3 linked regions of the Mus musculus genome follow. The protein of the gene in region 2 purifies or fractionates together with the protein of the main gene of each other region. This does not show direct contact. Links are inferred from orthologs where the notes say so. Each region holds a gene or a part of one and is shown on either strand. Other genes may lie near its edges.

Evidence for each region. Proteins that work in one complex are often made in the same cells at the same time.
Region 1: the proteins of Lrrc41 (region 2) and Cul5 purify together in Homo sapiens (affinity purification with mass spectrometry; 3 studies listed by BioGRID and IntAct, counting the BioPlex papers as one, with this or other methods). This does not show direct contact. The link is inferred for Mus musculus from reciprocal best matches to the Homo sapiens genes LRRC41 and CUL5.
Region 3: the proteins of Lrrc41 (region 2) and Drg1 purify together in Homo sapiens (affinity purification with mass spectrometry; 3 studies listed by BioGRID and IntAct, counting the BioPlex papers as one, with this or other methods). This does not show direct contact. The link is inferred for Mus musculus from reciprocal best matches to the Homo sapiens genes LRRC41 and DRG1.

Annotation. Positions count from the first base shown.
Region 1 is NC_000075.6:53,615,508-53,620,223, reverse strand, and holds part of Cul5 (cullin-5), read left to right. Parts: intron 1-2,213; coding exon 2,214-2,408; 3' UTR 2,409-4,716. UniProt on the Homo sapiens protein: Core component of multiple cullin-5-RING E3 ubiquitin-protein ligase complexes (ECS complexes, also named CRL5 complexes), which mediate the ubiquitination and subsequent proteasomal degradation of target proteins.
Region 2 is NC_000070.6:116,073,002-116,079,443, forward strand, and holds the start of Lrrc41 (leucine-rich repeat-containing protein 41), read left to right. Parts: upstream 1-2,267; 5' UTR 2,268-2,407; coding exon 2,408-2,606; intron 2,607-2,671; exon of another isoform or gene 2,672-3,333; coding exon of another isoform or gene 3,334-3,358; intron 3,359-6,387; coding exon 6,388-6,442. Other genes in the region: Uqcrh (cytochrome b-c1 complex subunit 6, mitochondrial), read right to left, coding at 1,915-1,968. UniProt on the Homo sapiens protein: Probable substrate recognition component of an ECS (Elongin BC-CUL2/5-SOCS-box protein) E3 ubiquitin ligase complex which mediates the ubiquitination and subsequent proteasomal degradation of target proteins.
Region 3 is NC_000077.6:3,259,964-3,264,679, reverse strand, and holds part of Drg1 (developmentally-regulated GTP-binding protein 1), read left to right. Parts: intron 1-2,015; coding exon 2,016-2,191; intron 2,192-4,716. UniProt on the Homo sapiens protein: Catalyzes the conversion of GTP to GDP through hydrolysis of the gamma-phosphate bond in GTP. Appears to have an intrinsic GTPase activity that is stimulated by ZC3H15/DFRP1 binding likely by increasing the affinity for the potassium ions.

The DNA.
Region 1 (4,716 bases), on a different chromosome or scaffold from region 2:
CAGGCTTTTAAAACCTCTTAATGTATTGCAAACTGATAGTTATTTTAATTTTAGAAAAAAGTCTCTTAATGGGACTGCTTCTTTTGTTCTACTTTTATAGTTTTTATTTAATATCATTCAAAATTCTGGTGCCAGTTTGAAGCACAAAAAAGATTAAGTTTTCATGGTCCTATAATCTTTACATTCCTGGATGGACAGACTTACCTTTTTTTCTATATATTTTTGATATAAAACCCTATTGGTAATCTGATAAAAGCCTGGTATCATTGGACAAGATGACTCATCAGGTAACAGAAACCTGGTGATCTGATTTGATCCCAGGAAGCCACTTAGAGATGTTCCAGGGCAGCCAGGGCTGCACAGAGAAGCAAAGCCTGCCTCAGACATACCAACCAACCAACCAAAGATGGAGAGAGCTGACCTTAGAGAGCTGTCTTCTGACTTCCACATGCGTGCTATGGCATGTACTTATAAACATGTAATATATAGTTATGCACAAAAAAAACTTAAATAAAAACCCTTGTAGCTGGATGCACCATAAATTATCTAGCCGGGCAGTTCTAGCACACGCCTTTAATCCCAGCACTTGGGAGGCAGAGGCAGGAGGATTTCTGAGTTTGAGGCCAGCCTGGTCTACAGAGTGAGTTCCAGGACACCAGGGCTATACAGAGAAACCCTGTCTTAAAAACCAAAATCATCATCATCACCATCAGTCATCAGTATCAATGAAAGACTGTCTTGCCTGTACAGGAAGTTGAAGGGTTTATCCTGCTGGACGCTAGCTTCCCGAGCCGATTTGTATGATTACAATCAGGTGTTAAATACAGCGTCCACAGCAAATTAGTTCAAGGATTTCCTGCAGGTCCCAGAATTTCTTGTATAAAGCATTCACCCTACAGGTTTTATACTATATATTTAAATAATCTTTAGGTCACCATAGCACCTAATAGAGTATAAATGCTTTGTGACTAGTCACCATACTGTGTTGTTTAGGAGGCAATGTTTAAGTTTGTGTGTTTAATACACATGCAACTATCATAGGTCTGATTATATTTTTGTGGTTGGTTGTTTGGTTGTTATTTGTTTTGTTTTGGTTGATTGGTTTCCTTCTTGAGACAGAGTTTCTCTGTGTAGCCCCGGTTGTCCTAGAAATCACTTTATGGACCAGACTGACTCAGAGGTCTGACTAGGATTAAAGGCAAGGACCACCATACTCAGCTCACAATTCTCTTGTTCATTCAGTCTGTGGGTATGGAGCTCATAGAACCAACTGTTTCTCTTTTGCATTTACTTTACTAGTCTTTACTAAGGCACCTTGTTGCTTTTAGTTGCCTAAGAAAAGCTAAAATTTAATGATGATTACAGTAGGTGTACTTTGCAGGTAATGTCATTGCCAACTTGTATGTAGTTTAAAAATCACCAAGAACATAATCGGTAAAATTGACTTAGGCGAAACTTGTTGATTTCTTTAGAAACATTTAATTGTCAAAAAATGAATTAAAAACAGGATCTGTGGTAAATTTTGCTATCACTTTATCAGTCTAGTTAATATGTAGTGTTTACTGATTTTTAAGAGTAGATACCCATGGTTCTCTTCTGTTATACAAAGATGCACCTTAATATTAGAGGCAAATTTGTGTAAGTGGAGTCTTATGTCTTAGTATTATCTATGTATTTGTATGTGTGTGGCCATATGTGTATGTGTAGGTCAGAGCACAACTCTTTAAGAATTGATACTATTTTTCCACCATTGGGTCCTAGTGCTGCACTCAGGTCATCGTGCTTGTTAGCGGACAGCGCCTTTACCGTCTGCTCGCTCGCTCGCTCGCTGGCTGCCATAGCAGTACTCACCTGTTTGCCCACAGTATCTAGAACTCCAGCTCCAGGGCATCCAGGGCTTTTTTTCCCAGCCTTTTCAGGCACCAGACTTGAATGTGATAAAGTCATACAAGGAGACAAACATTCAAGTGCATTATTAATTTTAATAAAACAATAGAGAGAGTATAGGTTAATTTTGGCTTCCTTTACTTTCAAAATCTTTGTGATAGTGTAATGGAGAAAAACTGTAGCTGCTGAGTGAGTCTCCAAATGATGACCTGGGGCTGCTGGGCAGTGTGGGTGCTGTTAGAAGATAACATAGGAAAAGTTACTGGTTTGCTTTGCTCAAATTAATTGAATGTATTAATGTACTTTCATTTTCATTTTTCTCTTAGGAAGCCATCATACAAATAATGAAAATGAGAAAGAAAATTAGCAATGCCCAGCTGCAGACTGAATTAGTAGAAATTCTGAAAAACATGTTCCTGCCTCAGAAGAAGATGATAAAGGAGCAGATGGAGTGGCTGATTGAACACAGGTACATCCGGAGGGACGAGGCCGACATCAACACCTTCATCTACATGGCCTAGCCGGGCCGCTGCTGCCGCACACACGCCCCTGAAGGCCTGGGCAGAGGCTGTCCCAGCCCCAGCTGGAGGAAGCTTTATTTGGACTTTGATTACATAAATATTAAACTCTGCCTTACCTTACAAAACGACTCTATTTTGCCAGTCACATTAGTTAGCATGATGGCATTCCCTTCATGTTGCACACTCTTTAACAGCATGCTGTTTTGTGGAGAAAATTGCATTCATGAAGAGCCCATTGTGAACTTTCAAAGTCAATTCAATTTTTACCCACCTAGAGAAATAACATGTCGGAAGGGTGAGGGTGGGGTTCTTTTTGCTTCTTTTATCCCCTTTTCTTCTTCAAAGAAATATACTTGCACAAGGAAGGATTTTCAGATATTCATGCACTGAAAAATGCTGGGGATTTTTGTTTGTTTGTTTGGGTTTTTTAAATTCTTTTTTTTTTTTTTTTTTTATGAAATTAAAGCTAGACGTAGCACTAAGCTACTTCTGATGCAAAGAATGAATCGTCAACACTGTGCTGGGCAAGGGCAGGCACACTTGAGAAGACACGTGTGCCAGTGTCAAGTTGTTTGTCAAACACTGCTTTCACTTTAGTGACTGGATCTTAATGGTAACCTGAAATGGTATTAAATATTTCTACCTTATAAATCCTGATTTTCAATGAGCAGGAGAGTTCTGTTTAGTTATTTGTTGTTAAATGATAAAGATTTGGGATTTTTCTTTTAAACCTTGTACGGCTGGAGAGCTTGTTTTGAAAACATGAAGTTTATAATGAATGTTGCTTCAGTTAAAAAATGTGTGGGTATACGTACATTATTGATTGCATAATCAGAATCTTGAAGCAAAAATTAAGTGTGTTACTAATACACTCAATTCTCATACGTCTAATATTTATTATACTGTACCTGAATTTGTTGAAAACAATGCAGAAATATTCTGATGCAGTGCAGTGAGAGAATTGCTTTCTTAACCTGTAGCATAGAATTATTTGGTGATTGAAAGTGTTGTGATTAGGGATTTACCACCTCAGTTTTCTGGAAAGACATTCTCTATTTAAAAGTAATAATTACCTGCCACTTAGCAGGAAGAAAGGTGAGATTACAACCTGCAACCTGAAAAGCACTCAAAGTTGTTAGTCTTAACATGAGCAGTAACCTTGCCAAATATGTACATATATTTATATATTTTAAAAATAAACATTTTTAAAATGTTCAGAGGGCAACACCTACCTTGCTCCTCTCAGTGATCCAGAGCAGTGACTCAGGACTTTACAGAGCAGTGGAAACTTAGAGATTGAGGACTCAAGCAACTGAAGAGAATTATTCCCCAGCAGGAAAAATGGCTCCCTGTGGATTTTACTCATTGTGGTGCACGTTTCGAGTTTTCTTGCAAATTTTAGAACTTTTGATGTTAAGTAGTATTTTGAAGTATTGGTTCTGAAGCTAGCAGAAGATGGAGTGTTGAGAAGCATACAGTATTATCTATCCTATTACCACAGAGGGCTGTGGATCTGCCCTGCTGCTCAGCAGCTGGGGTCTCCTTGCTGGAAAGAAGTAAAGTATATGTTAGATGTTTAAGGCTTTGATAATTATAGTCATATATCTGTTGTGAAACTCATAGGAAGTTGGAAGTGCATGTGTGCTTGCTGTGCCCTGCAGCTCTGAGGTGATGGCTAAAGCAGGTGTGCAGCGCAAACTCAGTCCCTGCTGCTCTACCACGTGGAGGATGGAACATCCGGAATTTAGAGGGATAGTTTTATCATGACTGTTCAATAGCTTGGTGTTGGCAAATTTTCCTGTCCCAATACCAGAATGCCAAAGGAGGAAACAATCAAGGGAAAAATTTTAGGCCATTTAAAATGACAAAAAAGATTTGTCATTTTAAACCATCATTTTCTTTAGAACATCTTTGAAATTTCTAATCGCTTTGGTCATTTAAGAATGAGAGCTGTGATGTTTTGATTTATAAAGGCAAACTTAATGCAAAGTGGGTAACACTAAATCCATAGCAAAGTTTTTTATTAAATTTTTATAAATTTTTTAATAGTTAATTATGTCCTAATTGTATTTTGGGGAATGAGCAGCAGTAAATACCACAGACTTAACAGTTTCATCCTTTTTTAAAAATATATATATAAGAGTGTAACTACTTTTTGGTGTTTATCAAAACTATTTAGTTGACAAGGTGCCTATACCATTGTTGGGATTTTCTTTAAATGTTTTATGAATAGATTTGATAATTTATCTGAAGATCCAGAACCACTGACAGCGCCCCTCTCTCTCCCTGCAGACTTCATAGTCTTGCT
Region 2 (6,442 bases):
CCAACACCATCTTCCAGCCACATATGTAGGTAAAACAATTGTATGCATAAAAATAAACTATTTTTTAAAATTCACAAAGAAAAAGTATCCCCCTAAAAAGATCCTCTGACATCAGAGCTCAGTGGTAAAGAATACCTGAGGCCCTGGGTCCAAGTCCTAAAACCATCAGGTAAAATTGCTTGCTACCAAGCCCGACAACCCGAGTTTGATCCCAGGAGCCCATGTGAAAGGACCTACAGACAGAAGCATGCACAAACCAACACCTATACATGCTCACAAAAGATGGCTCAGCAGTTAAGAGCACTTGTCTCTCTTCCAAAAAAACCCTGGCTCTTCCTAGCTCCTACATGGTTGCTCACAAACGTTAACTCCAGTTCCAGAAGATCTAGTGCCCTCTTATGGTCTCAGAGGGCATCAGGCATTGCAAGTGGTGCAAAGGTATACATGTAAGCAAAATACAAATATACACTTAAAGTAAAAATAAAATCGGGGGGGGGGGGGGACACACCTGAAATTAGCATTCTAGAAGCAAGACAACTGTGTCATTTCCCAATTGGCATTACTATAACAACACTAATGTGCTAAAAACACCATGCTAAACAAATCCAAATACAGGTCTAATTCTGTTTCCACCAATGAGAAAATCCAAAGTCACACTGAATAAAAAGATTTCATCTCCATTCATTATGGATCTTTCACAAAATTAATTTAACTTTCTTCATTTTATTATTTGATTTGTTGGTTTATTGTTTTTTTGAGAAAGGATCTCTATAGTCCTGGCTGTCATGGAGTTTGATATGAAGACCAGGATGGCTCTGAACTTACAGAGATCCTCCTGCCATTGCCTCCTGAGTGTTGGGATTAAAGACACGGACCACCATGCCCAACTTTCTTAATTTTAAAACTTCTATCTGCTGTGGTATCCTGTTAAACTTTCTGAGAATGAAAACTTGAAAAAATTAAGGGATAAATAATTTGCCAACTAATTAATCCATTAAGCCCTGATGGCTTGTCCTGAAGTAGACAAGACAAATGCACAGGAAATGGAAGCAAAGTGAGTCTCGGGCTAGAGCTCTGGCTCTCAAGCCTGGACGTCTGCATTGGAGTCCCAGTTGTATTGTCTTGCTAGTTGTGTGCCCTCATTCAAGATAAACTTCCTTGCTTGCTGCCTCATGTAATAAAAGTGACAAAAATATATAATGTACCTGATATTTACCTCATGGGGAAACTGTGCAAGTTAAGTATCTTAGTGCATATAAAGCACTCAGCACATAAGCAGCCAATATTTATCACAATGATGCTCAACTTGGGAAAGAGCTCCCTCTTGCACCACAGAATTACACTACACATTCTTAAACTGTCCCCAAAGGCACAAGTCCTCGGCCATCTCCATCCCAAAAGATAAAGAACCGCTTTTTGTTGGAGATGCTGGGAAGCGAATACAGGGCTTGTTAATGCTAGGCAAGAGCTTTACCATGAAGCTACACCCCAACTCCTGAAAGCACTTTTCCGAAGACTAGGGTCCCCGAAATCTCCATAAATAAATTCTGACCTAAGCTACGTTAAAGACTAACGTTAGTTTTTTGCTTCACGCACTTATCAAGTTAGAACCTCAAAACATTTATCAAATTAGAACCTCAAAAACCTGGGGGGGGGTTGTTTGTTTGTTTACACAAGTTTATCAGTGCAGCATTATAAACTCCAGTTACACTTTCACATTCCTGGTTTGGGGAAGCCAATCCCGAGAAAGACTAGCTATTAATCTGCCCAAGGTCAACCAAAGAATTCTGAAGGTAAGTAACGGAAACCACCTCTCTGGACCCCGCAAACCCTAGGCTATAAACCCGGACTAAGAGAGCCCCGGGAGGTGCTTTGTTGAGCTAGGTCCCGGGCCCGCCAACCTCGAAGCCTTACCTCTTTGGGGTCTCCAGATCCAGTGAGCATCTTTCGTTCGTCCTCTAGTCCCATGTCGGGAGCCGGTTTGGGATCCAACAAGCGCAACCAGAGTAGTACTCCACTTCAGGTTTAAGAAGGACTAGTAAGGGTCACTCGACGGATATCCGGCGACCTGGCCGGAAGTGCGGCATACTCCTCGTAGTCCCGAACACACGCACAAATTGGGCTGTACTACTCGCTAGCTACGAGACGTAGGGGGAGCTGCTATATACGCCTGCAAAGAATTTGCTAAGAAACATCCTTTCGGTCACTTCTTGCCCAAATGTGTTGATCTACAGTATTTTTCCAAGTAGTATTCCCTAAGATACTTGAGTCATCTGCTCCTCTGTTTGACGATCTTTTAATGTTGTTTCTGTTCTTCCCCATATCCCTTATGGAGCGGTCCTAAAAGCTGACCTCTTCAAGATGGCGGCCCGCGGGTGTCATTCTCGGGCTCGCGCACCTCCCCAAGATGGCGGCGCCCGAGGCCTGGCGCGCCCGGAGTTGCTGGTTCTGTGAGGTAGCGGCAGCAACGACCATGGAGGCCACGTCCCGGGAGGCGGCGCCAGCGAAGAGCTCGGCCTCGGGCCCCAGCGCTCCCCCCGCCCTGTTCGAGCTGTGCGGGCGGGCAGTGAGCGCCCATATGGGGGTTCTGGAGAGCGGGGTGTGGGGTAAGTCGCGGAGTGAGGGGCGACCTCCGGCAGCGAGCGGGGGCGGCCCGGCGGCCAGGGGGCGCGGGGGGCGAGGCCGAGAGGCCCGGGGCCAGGCCCAGCTGGGAGCCCCGGGAGTTCGATGGTGGAGTCGGAACAGAAATTCCGTGACTGACAGGGCGGGACGGAGTGAAGCCTGAGACCGAGGGAGCCGGTGAAGCCGAGCCGCGGCTCGCCTGGGGGGCGCGGGGGGCGAGGCCAGAAGGCCCGGTACGGGGCAGAGCTGCCAGGGCCCTAGCGACGGGGGCTGGAGTAGCAGGCCGGAGCCACAGGCTCGGAACTGACACTGGGCTGGACCGGACTGAACGGAGGATTCTCGGATCTCGAACCGACGGGGCAGGGATGGCCGGGCTGCCCCGGGGCAGGGACCGACTTTGGCAGGCCCGACCCGAGGCAAGGAGGCCAGGCCCGCAGCCACCTGCGCTGCCGGCCCGGGGCCTCCGCTGTCCGCCGGGCACACCACCGGTACCTGGACTCCGGGAGCCCCGCGGATGGGCGGGGTGGGACAGCCCAGTGGAGAGCGAGCGAGGGACCGGAGTCGCGGGGAGAAGCCGAAAAGGCTGGGAGCGCCGTGGCCTGTTTGACGGCCCGAGCGAGGGCTGAAGGGAGCGCACCGACGCCCCAGACCTCGCTGCTAAACTGAGCTGCGGGTCTGCCCGCCGAGCAGGTAGCGCCGGTGGCCTTCTGGATGGACCGGGGCGGTGGTGGAGAAGGTAGGAAAGTGAGTGGAGGGCTCCGGGAGACGCTCCGTAAGCACGGACAGGCTCGGGAGACCGGCCGGCGGGAAGGGCCGAAGAGGCCTCAGGCCGGGCAGGGGCCAGGGTATCCCGGACTGCGGAGCTAGAGTCGGGTGAGACGCGTCATGGGGAAGAGGCCTTGGGCCGAATAGGAGGGAGCCGAGGCCTTAGTTGTGAGAGCGGCCGGTACGGAGGGGCTGGACCCGGCTAGACAGTCCGCTCCGCTCCGGTGTGAGCCAAGGCCTTCTGCTCCCCGACCAGATGGCAAGGAGGCCCTGCTGGAGGAGGATACCGCAGGCCAGCGGCCTGGCAACTTAAGCGGGGAAAGGGTCCACGACGTGAAAAGTGAGAGTAGAGAGTTAAAGAGAAAGTTAGGGCCTTCAGGGGAGACAAGGGAGGGAGGCCATGGGCCTGACAGAATTGGTGCTAGTGGAGTAGGGTCAGGCTGAAGTTGGATGAGATCACAGGTCGGGCCAGACGGAAGGTGGAGGAGGAGAGGGTAACATCAGAGGAGGCTCCTGGCCTTGGAGTGTGCAGGGGATGTGCCACCGGGACTATCCAAGGTGGTGGTGACATCTTTGCCAGAAGGCAGGCCCTGGTCCGTTAAGAACTGAGAGTGAGGGTTTTGTTAAGCCCCAGGAGGTGGGTTTGCAGGATTGCTGCCCCAGAATAGGTTGTAAGGCCTTAGAGTGGCCAGCACTGCTGAGAAGGCCCAAGCGCCTTCCAGGAGGTGGGGGTGGGGGAGAAGAGATGGATAAGAAGTCCTCAGGCCCTGTGTGAGCAGAGGAGATTGTGGAGGCCCCGTGCCAAGCTGCGCAGAAAAAGGTCAGGCTGACCCTATGGTGAATGGAAGGAAAGGCCTCCCTGGGGTTGAACAGGGGCTCAGAGAAGTCCTGGAAATGTGGCAGCCTGTTATCAGCCTGGAGAGTCTTTAGATGCTGATCTTGGCTAGAAGAGGAGTTGGGTGTTAATGGAGGCCCTGACTTGCAAAGAGGAAGCATTTAAAAGGAAAAAAGTACGGCTGGAAGCAAGCAAGGAACCTGTCTTAAGAATAAAGGAACAGTAGACTTTGTAGTTTGAAGAGATGAGAATTCCTGTGAGAGGTGTGAGAGGGGATTGCTAAGCAGGAGGGAGCAGAGTCCAAAGGAAAAGGGGGAAGCTCTGAAGGCATGGCTTTTCTTTCTGTGTACTCATCACTACTTCATTGTTCCCAGTTGAGAAGAGACAGGAGAACCTGCAGTGGGCTAGATCCAGTAAATAGCCACCCAGTCAGTAAGAACTTGACTCTGTAAGAACTTTTAGAGGTGCCAAGAAAAAGGCCTGTCAAGCGCTGCTGTTTCAGAGGGAGGCCTCAGGGTGAGCTAGGGAGCAGTCAGGAAAGGCTTCTGCCATTAGTGGACTAGCACTGAAGAGAGGGGAGTAAGTGGAGGCAACCCAAGTGTGTAGTGAGAGACAGTGGGCCAGGGAGATGCTCAGCAGGTCAGGCCAGACACTGCCATCAGCCTGACAACCTCAAGGCCATTCCTGGGACCCAACTAGCAGAATTGGATCTGCAAGTGACTGTCCTCTGACCTCATTCCTGCTGTGTGCCACATCTCTCAGTGATCTCTCATGATGAGAAAAGTTCATCGATGGTAGATGACCTTAAATATCAGGGTGTGAGATTTGAACTTTATCTTGTATGGAGTAGAGAGCTTTTGAAAGGTTTTGATCAGAGTATGTCATCGGGGGGGGGGGAGAGAAGAGGAGAGAGAGAGAGAATATAAAGATAGATGTCAGAGAAACAGTGTGTCAGATGATAGACCTACATTACTATAATAGCACAGGGAATTAATGTTCTCATTCAACAGGTACAGTGAATATTAATGAGTACCTAATAGATAAAAAAAAAGTACACTAGATTCTTAGGCCTCATGATTCAGTTATTCTTCAAGTAAAGAGAAAGTACACTGAGGAAAAGCTGTGTGTGCTGACTCACACCTGTAATCCTAGTTCTCAGGAGGCTGAGACAGAAGGATTGCCTCAAGTTACAAGGACGCTAGGAGAAAGACCCTGACTTTAAAAAACAGAGGTACGGGAAAGAGAGTATTCCTTTTACACAGGACAGGACAGTTGGGTTCCTAGCACCCATATCAGATCAAAACTGCATAGAACTCCGGTTCCAGTGGCCCAACACCTTTCAGCCTCTGCAGGCACCCTCACTCACTTGCACGTACCTCTATATAGACACACATATACATGCAATTTTAAAATAAAATATTTTTTAAAATGTAGGTCAAAGAATGAAAGTTTTGGTATAACTACAAGATCGTAAGCTTAATAGAGTAGAGATGCATAGACAGAATGAACATAATAATAGCCAGTATTCATTGATCTTATGGGCAGGTATTGTGTTAAACAAATTACAAGCATGATCTTTAATGTCATGAGGTAGTCATTTCTAATCTATTCCCTCTTCATACAACTCCTAATACACACATTTTGTTTTATTGAATCAGGATTTCGCTTTATTATCCCTGGCTGTCCTGGTACTCATTATGTAGCTCCAGCTAGCTTGAACTTGCAGCAGTCCTCCTGCCTCAGCCTCCCAAATGCTGGAGTAAGATTTTCCCCAACTTCTCTCTCTCTCTCTCTCTCTCTCTCTCTCTCTCTCTCTCTCTCTCTCTCTCTCTCTGCCGGGGGAAGAATAAATAAAGGCAATCCATAATCAAGACTAGCTTTGAATTCCTGATATTCTTGGTTCCAGGGAAAAACTGGTTTTGTTTTTTAAAGTATAATGAATTAGAGAAGAGTTATCTTTAATTTTCATGAGTATTTACTACCTTCATAGGAAGGTAGTAGCTCAGAGTATACTCAGAGCCCAGCCCAGCCTAGGCAGAAGTTTGCTGACCTCAGTGAGCAAGCAGCTTAGTTTTCCTTTCCTCTGAATTTCCAGCTGCCTTAAGATAGATAATGTTTAGAACCCAAGAAGGGAAAAAGTAAACTTTGTGTTTTGGTTTTTGTAGCCCTCCCAGGCCCAATACTTCAAAGCATCTTACCTCTGCTCAATATATATTACTT
Region 3 (4,716 bases), on a different chromosome or scaffold from region 2:
TTCATATGCCCATAGACAATTTTTTTTTTGTTTGTGTACTTCTTATCCTGGAACTTAACTATAAAGTCTAGGCTAGCAGTGAACTCCACAGAGTCCATTTGCTCCCCAAGTGCTGGGCTTAAAAGTGCACACCACTGTGTCTGGCTTCCAAGAATGCATTTCTGTGTGTTTATGTGCATAGGAAGACCAGTCCTTTTTTTTTTTTTTAAATTGAGATAGGGTCTTACTTATCCTGAAACTCATCAGTTCAACTAGACTGGCGATCCATCAGTCTCTGGAGACCTGCCTATAATGCAGCAATGGGATCACGGGTGTGTGCTGCTGCTACAGGGCTTTTTTTACCTGTGGGTGTTGGGAATCCACAATTAGGTCCTCATGTTGTGTGGCAGGCACACTGATTACTGAGCCATCTCCTAGCCCAATTTTTTGTTTTTGTTTTTGTCTTTTGAGACAGTGTTTCTCTGTGTAGCCCTGGCTGTCCTGGAACTCACTCTGTAGACCAGGCTAGCCTCCAACTCAGATCTGCCTGCCTCTGCCTCCTAAGTGCTGGGATTAAAGGCGTGCGCCACCACATTAGGTGTAATTAATGTTTTGAGTTGGGTGGTGGTGGCTGGTAGTGAGAACTAGAGGGTAGAGGAAGAAGCCTGATATCAACTTCCAGTTTATGCATGCCCACTCAAACACACAATCTCAAAAGCTATGCACATACAGTACTCCGGAATGAGGCTGGCGGATTGCAAATTCCAGTCTTCCAAACTAGCCTAGGCTATGTAAGTATATCCCATTTCAAAAAATCTGGTCACACCATTCCCAGGGATCGGATAAAATCCAAACCAGAGATAAACACAGAGCCTCAAATCTGTATCTTGTTTTTTGTGGTTCTGTTTTGTTTGAGACACTCTCACTGTATAGACTAGGCTGACCTTAAACTCTCACAGTGCCATCTGCCTCTGCCTACAGAATGCTGGGATTAAAGGTGTATACCTCTAATTCTGGCTTTATTTTTTTGATATTGTTAATATTTTAAATTTATGTGTGGGCCAGGGATAGTGGTATATGCCTTTGATCCCAGCATGTAGGGGGCAGGACAGCCAGAGCTACATAGCTACCCTAACTCAAAAGAAATAATTAAAACAAAACAAAACAAAACAAAATAAAATAAATGTGTGAATATGTGGTTACTAATTGTATGTGCACCAGTGCTTTCAGAGCCCAGAAGGAGTAAAATCCCTTGGAACTGCATGTGTAGCTGCGCATGCTAAGAAATAAGCATGCATGCTTTGTGAAGAGCCATCTCCAACCCCTATGCTATTTTGTGTATGTGTTTTGCCTGTGTGTATCTTTGTATCACCTATGAAGCACCCCTGGAGGCCAGAAGAGCATACTGTATCCCTCAGGGACCCTGAGACTGCAGTTAGAGAAGCTTGCTAGCTGTGATGTGAGTGCTAGGGATTGAGTCTCGTCCTCTGCAAGAGCAATCAGTGCTCCAGCCCCAGGGTTTTATGTTTTTGAGAAAGGATCTTAGTCCAAGCTGGCCCCTAAATTTCTGCTTCCTCTGCTTTTTACCTTCCAAGTGCTGTGACTACAGGCTTGCTCTACTATGCCTCATAACCTTCAGCCCCTCCTCTTTCTCCTCCTTACTTCTCTTTCCTTTTCTCTTCTTTCTTTTTTTTTTTTTTTTTTTTTGAGATTGGTTTCTCTGTATCCCTGGCTGTTCTGAGATCCATCTGCCTCTGTCTCCTGAGTGCTGGGGCAAAGGCATATGTTGCCACTGCCTGGCAGATGAATTCTTTTGTAATCTTTGGGCCTTAAATATTATGCAAAATTGTTATAAATAAAGTGATAAAGGATTTCTTTGTTTTAGTACTGCATTACTATTGAATTGTGAATTTCATGCTTGAGCTGTATTTTAGAAGTTAGAAAACCAGACCAACAACAATATGAAAAGAATTAGGTGAAGTGTACTATACCCAAGGATAACATTTGTGTTTTTGATGTTTCTTACTGTTTTATAGGTTTTGATGTGGCCAAGACAGGTGATGCTCGAATTGGGTTTGTGGGTTTTCCATCTGTGGGGAAATCAACTCTGCTAAGTAACTTAGCAGGAGTGTATTCTGAAGTGGCAGCCTATGAATTCACTACATTGACCACAGTGCCTGGTGTCATCAGATATAAAGGTGCCAAGATCCAGGTGAGTAACATTTTTCAGGCCAAGAAAGGGAAGAAACCCATTGTTTTCATTCATTTAGGAAGTGCTTTATTAATAGCCCACAGTATGTCGGGACTGTCTTTTTATTTAGTAGGCCCTTCATCTCTTTAAGAGTTACTATACTTGCCAGGTGTGGTGGCGCACGCCTTTAATCCCAGCACTTGGGAGGCAGAGGCAGGCGGATTTCTGAGTTCGAGGTCAGCCTGGTCTACAGAGTGAGTTCCAGGATAGCCAGAGCTACACAGAGAAACCCTGTGGGAAAAAAAAAAGTTACTACACTTAACAAGAAAGTTATTAGAGTGAAATAGGACCCATGAAAATATATGAAAAAAAGGGTCTGCTTTTTGATCTGACATTGAGGGAAGATCATCTGAGACGGGGCTTTATATGCACAAAATGACTTGCAGAATTGAGTCTTTTTTAAGAAAAGGTCTTTTAAAAAAATTCTATTATTTATCTTTATTTTATGTTCATTGGTGTTTTGCCTGAAGTTATATCTGTGTGAAGCTGTAAGATCCCCTGGAAGAACAGCCAGTGTTCTTTAACTGCTGAGCTATTTCTCCAGCCCAAGAAAAGGTCTTATTATATAGTAAAGGTTAGCCTTGAACTCCCAGGTTTGTCCTTGCTGCAGCCTGTGAAGTACTAGAGTTAGAGGTGTGCTGACACTACACTTGGGTTGGCAGTGTCTTGACGTTAGTGTGTGTCATATCATAGTTTCTGTTGCTTGGATGGAACACCATAACCAGTTGGAGAGGAAAAGCATTTACTAGGTTTACACTTCCACATTGTAGCCCATCACTGAAGGAGGTCATGGGTGGGTACTGCTCACTAGCTCACTCTCCATGGTTTGCTCAGCCTGGTTGCTTTTTTATTTTAAATTATTTTAATTTTATTTACATGGGCATTTTGGCTGCATGTATGTCCGTGAGGTAGTTGGATCCCCTAGAACAGGAGTTATAGACAGTTGTGAGCTTTCATGTGGGTGTTGGTTAGAGTAGCCAGATGAGCCATCTCTCCAGCTTTCCAGCCTGCTTTCTTAGAAGCTAGGACCACCAGACCAGCTCCTTCATCAGTCACTAAGAAAATGCCTTACAGTTGGATCTTTGGAGGCATTTCCTTGACTGGGGTTTCTTCCTTTCAGATAATTCTAGGTTGTGTCCAGTTGGCCTAAGACTAGGCAGCACAACCAGAAAAGTGAAAATACATTCAATGTGGCTATCATGTGCTTTTTGTTTCGTTTTGTTTTTTTTTAAAAAGTTTTATTTTTATGTAGCTGTCTTCAGACACACCAGAAGAGGGCATCAGATCTCATTACAGATGGTTGTGAGCCACCATGTGGTTGCTGGGAATTGAACTCAGGACCTCTGGAAGAGCAGTCAGTGCTCTTCACCGCTGAGCCATCTCTCCAGCCCTACCACATGCTTTTTTTTTGTTTGTTTGTTTTTCGAGACAGGGTTTCTCTTTGTAGTCCTGGCTGTCCTGGAATTCTTTCTGTAGACCAGGCTGGCCTTGAACTCAGAAATCCGCCTGCCTCTGCCTCCCGAGTGCTGGGATTAAAGGCGTGCGCCACCACTGCCCAGCTCAGAACTCATGTTTTTGCTAGCCCTGGGAATTCCCACCCCACCACCCTGAGGTTATTGCAAGAGCTTTTGTTCTTGCTTCACTGTGGATTCTGGGGATCTGAACTCAAGTTCTCCTGTCTTTCTGTTTTTGAGACAGATTCTTTCTATGTAGCTCAACTGGCCTTGAGTTTGAGATTCTGCCTTTTCATCTGTTGTGGGAGCTACATCTGGCTTGATGTTAGTTTCTGTGAGTTTATTAAGATGGTATTTGCAGGGCTTCTGTGTTTCCTTTTCAAAGTCAGTAGATGTTTCAGGAGAGATACTTTGAAAAAGATCTGCATTCTAATTCTCAAGGTTTAATTTTATTATTAGATTTATTTATGTGTGTATTTTCTCACATGTGTGCCTGTGTACCACTTGAGTCACAAGAGGGTGTTGTGACCCCCTGGAAATGGAGTTACAGATGATTGTGAGCCACCTTTTGAGTGGTGAAAACTGAAGGAACCATGTCTTCTCAAAGAGCAAGTTCTCAGTGCTGTGCCATCTCTCCACCTGCTTAAGCTCTGTACTGTTACAATGTTCATATATGTGTTTCAGAATCCAGCATGTTCCTTAAATGTTCTTTACTCCTTTCTGTCCTAACTGTAGCTCTCAGTGCTTTTGTTCAGTACTTGTGTTAACTGGATTTCTAATGAAGAGCTGCCCTTCACCCATTTATTCAAGAATTTATATAAATGTTGGGTTGTGGATATTTTTTCATGTGTTATAATTCAGTGTTGTACATACTCATATTTTAACAGCTTTGACCATTAGAAAGTTTTTGTTTGCCAGGCAATGGTGGCGCACACCTTTAATCCCAGCACTTGGGAAGCAGAGGCAGGCGGATTTCTGAGTTCCAGGACGGCCTGGTCTACAGAGTGAGTTCCAGGACAGCCAGGGATACAC